2 linked regions of the Drosophila melanogaster genome follow. The gene in region 1 interacts genetically with each later gene. Each region holds a gene or a part of one and is shown on either strand. Other genes may lie near its edges.

Region 1 (4,751 bases):
TTTGTACTTTGATTCAATTTAACATTCGCTTTCATACCTGTTGCACGGATTTCCAATGTCGTAGTCGAGCGTAGTCTCAACCTCCAAATCTTCAATGCAGTTATCGAACAGAACTGCACTTATTATAGTCGGTTCGAAGCTTAAGAGCCCGTTGTCGCACATCGAATCGCTTTGATTTTCCCGATATATATTTAAGTTTTCTCCATGTGGGCAGCATTTTCTTAAACGAGACGATGGTGTTGCAACTGGTTGCTTTCTGTACTTTTCCCGTTGAGAACAGTCCGCCGGATCTAACGGGTTGTCTACAGGACTTTGAACAGGAACAGAGGTTGCGAACCTAGCACCTGATATTGTTGCAGCTTCTGTCGAATATGTTTGAGGTACAACCAGTGTTGAATGTATTGAGGCGTCCAGAACGTCAATCGAAGTGCTATTGAATGTGTCTTCATGGAAAATACTAAGCAAAGCAAAATATATTATAGAAAATGCAAAGATTCCAAAATTAGTATTTTTCGAAAACAAATATTTTGAGTATTTCTTACTTTGAGTTGTTTGATCCCTTCGAACTGTTATTTACAGTGCTTATCTGTGCGGAGGCGTTAAAAAACGTTTGTAAACTGATTAGAGCTAGGAGAAAATTCCAGTGGCCTAGATTCATATTGCCTTTTCAACCAATCTACAAAAAATATATAGCATAAAATGAATAAAACAAAATTGCCGAGTTCGTTTACACAGAAAGTATGTAAACAAACCAAATTTTGACATTAGTTAGGTGGTGTGGGAACTGGTAAGATATGGGCTATCTTATCTGTGTAAGATACCAGTAGAGTGCGTTATCATAATATAACACATGACGTCAGACGAATGTGGTAGCACATTCCTTAGAATTGATCAATACTCGGAAAATTACACTCATCAACTTATACAAAACCGCGTTAAATGTCAATTTTTGCGCACTGATTATTTGATTAGATCATATTTTATTCAATTATTGTATTTTTAAAAATAAACTATTTATGGCAATTATTGTTTACGTACATGTCAAATAATTTATGCTTGCTATTTAAAATGCAACCACTGAGCTTGATTAATAAAGTAATACTAGCGAAAAAGAAGTTTTAATTCTGCAATGGAATCACTTTGTGCAGGCGATAAGATAACGATGTTTTCAGGGCTTCAAAGCAAATTGTTTACCCTAATTTCTTTAACAATAACACATTTCTCAACAAACACAATTAAAATACTTTAATTTAGTATTTTTAGAATAATTTTTTAAAAAATTTAAGTAATAATAATATAAAAACCTTTCCCAGTAAACAAAAAATCGTAACGGCAACTTATTATCGATAACATTTTTAATGGATTTTTCGTGGTCGGCAATTTACGAAATGAGATCACCAGGATTTAAAATGCGAAATTGGGTAGAATGTAATACACTAAAATAAATTTACAAAAAAATACATTTTTTTTACCGCATCAAAAATACCGTTTTAATTTTTAAGATAGTGAGCAAAGGTAAGTTTATTTTGATTACAAGTTAACGGGTTTTCTTTAAACGCCCGCTCAACACGTCGATAAAAATAAAAATACATCTGTCAGTGCGGTTCAGCGTAAATGCCAAAAGCAACCCTGCCTATATCGTTTGTGCAACCATAAAGAATTAGTTCTCCAAGCCGACCGCAAGAGGACGCTTCTGACTTCACGCAATAGAAGAGTCGCTGTGATTGGCCGACTGTACACCGTCTTTAGCTATGTTCAAAACTGTAATGTTAGGTAAAAGTCTCTTTCGCAGTGTGCTGAAGATAGTTAAAAATATTAGAATATATCGTGTTAAATCCTGTGCAATTATTCCGCAACATGCTGGGTAATTTGCGCAGTTAATCCATGTGTTAATTGTGAAAGAAGAGTGACATTTAAACAGACGCAAAAATTTTCACGGTTGCTTAAATGGCGGACAATGTGCGTTGGCTTCATTTCATCGCACTCGCACACATACAATCGAACTTGGTGGTGCTGTCCAGTGCGTTTGCCGTCCAACACTAGAAGCCAAGAATGTGTTTTGAATACATGTACTTAATGTATTTAATCGGAACCGTTATTCTGAACTAAACAAGCTCTTTTGGCGGGTTTTTTTCAACTCCAAATTTGCGCAATACAAAGAAAGTGAACACCCAACGACAAACTTTTGACGATCTGATCGATTTTTCCCCCACATACGCTGTTGAGTAAATGTGTGTTTGAATGTGCCCCGTAAATACATAGCTAGCTGAGTGCGAGTGAGATGCGGTGTGCGTTCCTGTGGCACCGTGTACTAATGGGTTAATTTTCGTTTCAGATCTAATGTGCAGCCTCGCAGCATTAACTTGGAACAATATCTGAGGAGAGTACCCCCACGCACCCCTGCACACAGCCAGATAAATACGCAAGGCGAAAACAAACAAGATGAGCGGTCGCGGCAGCCGTAAACGTGGACGTCCGCCAAAGACGCCCAACGAACGCGCATCAGGACGCTTCAATTACCAGCTTCTCAAGAAGCCGAAGTATCTCAGCGAGGGAAAGTCGCAGCCCAGCACTCCGTCGGCATCCAGGGGCATTTCTCCACAGAGCGACGAGGGCAGCAGGAGCAGCCACAACAACCACACCAATCGCAGTCGCGGGAGCGCCGCTAAGAGGGGACGAGGCCGCAAATCCGCCGTGCAACCGAACACCAGTAGCTACTCTGGAAGGAAAGGTGGGTTAAAGGGGCACCTAAACTCTAACTTGGGAGTCAAGACTTACAGTTTCGCTCTGACTAGTTCGAAGATTAATAGGGAACATAATGTGCCATATATTGATTGCAGTGGAGAAAACTTTGATCGTTTTGAATGGTACTCATACTTCAAACGAGTTTTCCTGTGCGTTAAAGAGCTTCCGCTTCATAAAAGATCAAATTTAATATTTTCGTGACAACCACTACCGGGCGAGTCAGTTTCGATAGGTCTATCTGCTCTAATACCAACGATTATTTTTGAAATCTTACGACAAAAAATCTTTCAGTCTAGTTGGCATGAGTTTAATAACAATTACTTAAATACAATTCAGTAGAAATTGGGTCCACAATAGCAGTGACAGTATGTCAGGTTTTATGCACTTAGGTGTTGGTGAAATCATATTGGTTCTAAGAGCTACTGTTCCTCTTTTCAGGGTACGAGTCGGAGTATCACTACGGGTCAGATTTTGGGGATTCCGAAGAAGATAAATCCGATAATGAGGATGATATGCTGCTTACTCCCAGCGACGACGAGAGCCTAGAAGTAGCCAACGAGAGCGAATCAGAGTTTTCCGTGTGCAGCTTTAACCAAAATGGAGTTGGTCGGCCGCCACGTCCTCCTAGCCCAGAACCTGTGTGGCTGCAGGAAGGTCGTCAGTATGCAGCGCTTGATTTGCCGGACTCGTCGGAGGATCTTTTCATTGCTAATACACACGTTTTGCGCGCGCTAAGTATCTATGAAGTACTGCGACGATTTCGCCACATGGTCCGCCTTTCACCATTCCGATTTGAAGACTTGTGTGCAGCGCTGGCTTGTGAGGAGCAAAGTGCATTATTGACGGAGGTACACATAATGCTGCTTAAAGCGATTCTTCGAGAAGAGGACGCGCAGGGTACACATTTTGGCCCGCTGGATCAAAAAGATACGGTTAATATAAGTCTTTACCTGATTGACTCTATAACGTGGCCGGAAGTTTTGCGAAGCTATGTAGAAAGCGATAAGACATTTGATCGCAACGTGTTTCACATTTTAAGCCACACTGAATACCCTTACACGGGCATTGACAACCGGCTTGAAGTGCTCCAGTTTCTGTCAGATCAATTTTTAACTTCCAATTCTATACGAGATGTAATGCTGCAGGAGGGACCTATTCATTATGATGACCATTGCCGAGTGTGCCATCGGCTCGGTGATTTATTATGTTGCGAGACGTGCCCTGCTGTCTATCATTTGGAATGTGTAGACCCGCCAATGAATGACGTACCTACTGAGGATTGGCAGTGCGGGCTTTGCCGCTCGCATAAGGTAAGTGGCGTAGTGGACTGCGTGTTGCCACAAGAAAAACAAGGCGTGCTAATCCGGCATGATAGCCTCGGTGTTGATCGTCATGGGCGCAAATATTGGTTTATTGCACGTCGCATTTTTATCGAGGATCAGGAGAACTTTACATGCTGGTATTACAGTACGACAAGTAAGTTAAAATTGCTGCTCAGTCGACTGGACGCCGAAGAACTGGAAACTCGTCTGCATAGCCAGATTACAGAAAGGAGAGACGAAATCGAGCGCCAAATGAAACTGACTGAGACCTTAACCAATGAACACAAACACACGAAGCGTAGTGTTATCGAAATCGAACAAGAGGCTAAAAATGAACTTTTGGAGAAAGAGGTGCTTGACGAGGATGAAAAAGATGGTGATGCTAAATCTGAGAGTCAATCTATAGAGGGAACAAAAAAACAAGAAGAATGTAAAATGGTCACGCGTCAAAAATCCAATCAGCTGACTAATGGTACTTTGCATTTTAAACTTGGCATGGAGCAAGGATTTAAGAACTATGTCAACCAGTATTCAACAAATCCAATTGCACTCAACAAGCCGCAACGAAACGAGGAGCGAGATAAGCGACGCCATCTGTCCCATAAGTTCTCGTTAACGACGGCTTCTGACTTTAAATGGATCGGTATAACCATGGGAACTACTGACAATATGATAACAACTCTA
Region 2 (4,747 bases), about 15 Mb from region 1:
CAGTCGGACGGAGATGGAAATAATGGAAACTCGCGGTGCGACGCGTCGCTCACACTCTCCTCCGCTCACGCACACAGTGACACAGACAAAAGACAACCGGCTTTTACTTTTGCGCGCTCTGCACATTCTGCAGCAGGATTTTGAGATTTCAGATGCTGAAAAAGAAAACAGAGCAGCGCTTAAAGAAAGAGCGCTTAGCTGTTCTTCTTCTGTGTCCTCTCCCGCTCCCGCTCCCGCTCCAAACATTTAATTATATAGCATTGCTCAGAAAACAACCCCTCTCCATTTACGGACTCACCAACCAACACCCTCCCTTCATCCAATGCCAATCTCTTGAAATGACACATCTCACCGCACTCCCATTTGCGCTCTTTGAACTCTGCCTCCAACCAAAGTCTCGCTCATCGATTTTTCAGAGTTGCATTCCATTTGCCGTAGGAGCAAGGGAGAGGGAGCAAGAGCAACAAAGAGCGACCGCCATGTGTTTTTGCGTGCGTGTGTGAGTGTAACGAGATCAGTACATCTTGTACTTTTCGGACTCTTGCAGAGTTCACAGCCGCATTGGTCCCGTTCTTTTTGTTTTTTTTTTTTTTTCTTTGACATTTCCCCACGACGGCTCTGAGCGGCGTTTTCAAAAATTTCGCTCTGTTTACTTTTTCACGGCCCAGAAAAGGAGAGGAGAGATGAGGAGCGCTGAGAATAAGGGGGAGCGAAGCGCAGAGTAGCCGCTGTCGGCGTCGCATCAGGTGTTTTCATTTCGCTGGCCGCGCTCTGTTTTGGTCAGTATTTCCATTACGATAGGGCCACGCATTGAAGACGGTCCAACTTTCATACTTAAGCGCACACTTTGAACAATCGACAGAGTGGCGGAAAAGCGTCAAAGTTAAAGTGCAAATGAGTTGTTAAAAAGTACAGTATCGCAATACAGCTCATGAAAAAACTTGCAAGCTCCATTTAAAAGTGCGCCTTCCTAATATGAAATGCTTTAGTTTATAGAAATACGGGTTGGATTCGATACGAGGGAAGCGCACCAGACAGGCTTGCTTATCTTTGGTACAATCTGGACTTGGTCACTATGTTATAAGTTTAAATAAAGATTTGAAGTAGATAAGTCTATTAAAGTCCAGGAACTTTTAATTGAGCGAAGTTTGCTGTTAGACAATCAATCTAGCAATCTAAAATGGTGACATACAAAATACAAAAGACTTAGCTTAGGAAATGGGTTAAGGAAATCAAACCAATCAATACAAATTTAATTTTAATTATCTTTGTATATGTATCCATATTCCCCCCAATATTTCAAGTTCCCCCTAGCCAGAGCCAACTGTACAGTTCTGTCTGTGAAGAAAGAGGTCGCGCTCGTGTGCACCCAACAACAGCAAGAACCAAAAGGCAAGACGAAAGCTCCAACCATCCAACAACTACAACAGTTGCCGCGCTGCTTTTGGCGCTCTCGTTTGCGCTCGCTCTAACACATGCGATTTAAAAGTTGGCGCACCAGCTTTCGGCTCTCCCCTCTCTGTTACACCACCGGGCCCAAAACCACTTTTCTGTCGACCGAACCAACTGGTTCTCTCGCTCTCTCCCTCTCTGTCTGCGCTCTGTCTCTACGTCTCACTCTCTCGTTCTCCGGTGAACTTTGCAACAAGAAAAAGCTGATAAGCAAGATAGACGGCGGGAATGCGGGGGGCGGAGCCACTCATTCAACTCAATTGACAGTGGAAAACTTGTACAAAAATCTCTAGACAACTTTTGGAGCGGAGCGTAAATCTGCGTTATTTATACATATGTATGCATTTGCGTGCGAGTGTCAGTTTCTCTGCGCTCCAAACATTAACCTATTTCTGCGATTGGATTTCTCTGTTTACAAACTGTACGAAACGTTTGAGGTTATGTACAAGCTCTCTTATTGAAAGGTGTTTTAGGCAGTGTTTCCGAACCGAGCACTTACCTTTAGCAAGTCCAGCAGAAAGGGGGAGGCGGCGCACAGGACTATCTTGTGGGCGGGAAAACTCCGCCCGCCGGCGGCCAACGTGCAATCGACGAGGTCGCCATGGCAGCGCAACAATTGGATTGCCGATACGAGGCTGGTGCCGTAATCGCCCCAGGTGAGCGAATACAGCGAATTCATTGGCAGCGACATCAAAGCGGTCGCGTCCAAATCCAACAATTGTTGTTCCTCCCCAGCGTTGCTAGCGTATTCGCTGCTATTTGTCTCCAACACGACGATTTAATGTTTAACGGTTACGGGGAAAATTCTCTTCAAGTTGGGATTTTTCGCAAAAATCCCCTTTCTACTCCTCCTCCACGACGCCACTGCTTTTCCAACTCCCTTTGCTCTTCCTCTTCTTGCTGCTTGGCGCGCTGCTTTCTCGAAACTGAAATGAAAAATGGAAAAGAAAAAGAGTACAGACGTTAGTTATTAGCTCTCTCTCTCTCTCTCTCTTTCTCGGTCTCACTCTCCCGCTCTCGCACTCTTTGGGGGCCAGAGCGCGCGAGAGCGAGACAACGCATGTGTGTAGGCTGCTCACAGGAATTTTGTTGTTGGAGAAGACTTTTTCACAAGGGGACTGACAACTAGTATACAATTGATGTTTCAAAATTCGTTGCTGCCCACAAAAATCACACAAAAATAGCGCGCCACATTTAAAAACGCCAACAGCACACACACGCGCACAAACTCAGACAGACGGACAGCCGACACAATCACATTTTTTAATACACAGTACAGTCAAGCCATGAGACACGCATTTAATTTTTTTTTGTCACTCAGTTATTTTGTTCGTTTTATAATCGCATGTCTCTTGATTTTGTTATTGTTTTCCCGCTCACGGAGCGCACTTTTTTTGTTTGTTGGTTCGGTTTTGGTTTGTGAAATTATCTTCTCACCGGAGCGCAAAAGAAAATTTCAGTGGCTGTGGGTGATTTTGTGCCTTCTCTTTCTCTTGCCCGTACGCTTTTTTCTCCTGCTTGTTTGTCCGCTCGCCAACGTTGGATAACTCGAACTGAGACTGAGTAAATGGTTTCGATCGAATTTCGCTGCTCCGGCGCTGCCAGCGCGGCCAGTTTTTCAGTTCTCTACTCGGGGAGAAAATGTGTAATTTCTGTACTGCTGGTGGTGGTTATTTTGCGTGCTGGTGTGCGTGCGCGCCTGTATCTGTGTATCTATGAGAGAAGTGACCTGCCTGGCAACGCTCTTTGAAGTACAGTTGTCGAGCGGCATTGCCAGATGGAGCGCAGGAAGAGTATTTTTAGGATGGAGAGGAGAGCAAGACGGCAAGACAAAAAAGTCGGCAAGATAGTAAACAAAACTATAAAAGGTGGTAAATATTGAATGATGGAAATATTCTGGGCCGACTTCACGGATGAAAAACACATGTGTCCGACCGGTTGGAATATCAGAGTGCGATAAGAAAAAGGTCAACGGGATCCGTAGGTTCCGGTTCTATAACTATCGGATCCGGTATCAAAATATTCAACATTTTCTTATACTACTCCACTCTGAATAAGCTCAAATTTTACAGTTTAAAAATGAAGGATAAACAATTCAGAACGTTTTTGAATTATTCTAGCTAAGGTATCGAGCAATTGTATTAAAAATAAATTCCAACATTAGCTATGATTAAATCGATAAGCAGATTTTCGTAGAACGAGTCCCTAATCTAACAATTTATTATGTTTGATCACCAAAATCTAGAAGGGTATTGGGTTCAGAATAAATTACTTTCAGTTTTCTTTTTAAGATACCAGATTCCATTTTTCTGGGAACAAGTGTAATGCTACTGAGGGTTACACAGGAATCAAAAGAATCTGATAGGTTTAGATTAAAATAGACATGTATCGGGACTGGGTTTCTCTTCGGTTCCGAAATATTAACAGATCCTGTGAAAGTAATAATAACAAATGGTAGAAAAGCCGGTTCGCTCTTACGCTCTACATTCTCTTTCCCCTGTCTCTAACTCTCCTCTCTCCTTTCGAATCCAATCCAATCACCTGTTACTTTTGACACATCTCAGAGACCGAGACCCTACGGGGTAAAAACATATAGCCAGTCTCATTCTCGTATGCAGATCAAGTCCAGCTTAAGAGCGGAGAGACCCCGCGATAGGGAAGTTAGTCGAATTTGGAATTGAAGGAGAAGGAGAGTGGCACTTCTAGCCAACGCTCAGAGAAGAAAGTAATATAAAGTGAGCGAGTGTCCAAATTTTTAAGATTACAATTTTCTCTGTTATGATGCTGCTGGGCAGGGAAGGGGCCATGAGAAATGCCGTTCGAAATGCCCCTTTAAAGTTCCAATCGGCGTTAAAGCAGTGAGCATGTTTCATGTTTCGTAGCTGGCAATACCAACCAACGGAGCATGATGTGAGAATGAGGGAGAGCGTGCGCGCTGGGGGGTGTTGGTGGTGGGTGACTCGGCAGAGGTGGAGGAATGAGTGCAAACCAAGCACAGTGGGATACAAAACATAAGTGGTAGGAATAGAATTACTATGTAAAATTTTGGAATACATTGTATAACTGGTTTTTGTAAACAAATTGTATAAGCGTTACTGGACTATTTTTTCCATTGGCTAGTTTTTATAGTGCGTTTGGCCGTACGTTAGTTAAAGATTTTCAAATTAAATTTTTGTATTTTATTAAAATGTATGAAACTTTAAAACATTAAAACTTTTAAACAACGCTTTTGTCCCACCGTGCGCCAGCTCGACTGTTTGAAATTCGAACGGCGCGGCACGACTTTTGCCTGGCC

Evidence for each region.
Region 2: of E(bx) (region 1) and Trl, changing one suppresses a phenotype caused by changing the other (phenotypic suppression), as found in Drosophila melanogaster (one study listed by BioGRID).

The regions. Positions count from the first base shown.
Region 1 is NT_037436.4:243,908-248,658, reverse strand, and holds the start of E(bx) (enhancer of bithorax), read left to right. Parts: upstream 1-1,746; 5' UTR 1,747-2,276; intron 2,277-2,335; 5' UTR 2,336-2,442; coding exon 2,443-2,731; intron 2,732-3,183; coding exon 3,184-4,751. Other genes in the region: mthl14 (methuselah-like 14), read right to left, coding at 38-457, 543-658. UniProt on the Drosophila melanogaster protein: Histone-binding component of NURF (nucleosome remodeling factor), a complex which catalyzes ATP-dependent nucleosome sliding and facilitates transcription of chromatin.
Region 2 is NT_037436.4:14,754,953-14,759,699, forward strand, and holds the start of Trl (Trithorax-like), read right to left. Parts: upstream 3,011-4,747; 5' UTR 2,890-3,010; exon of another isoform or gene 2,532-2,889; intron 2,385-2,531; exon of another isoform or gene 2,379-2,384; 5' UTR 2,144-2,378; coding exon 1,952-2,143; intron 1-1,951. UniProt on the Drosophila melanogaster protein: Transcriptional activator that functions by regulating chromatin structure. Overcomes the repressive effects of chromatin by promoting the open chromatin conformation in promoter gene regions, thereby allowing access to other transcription factors.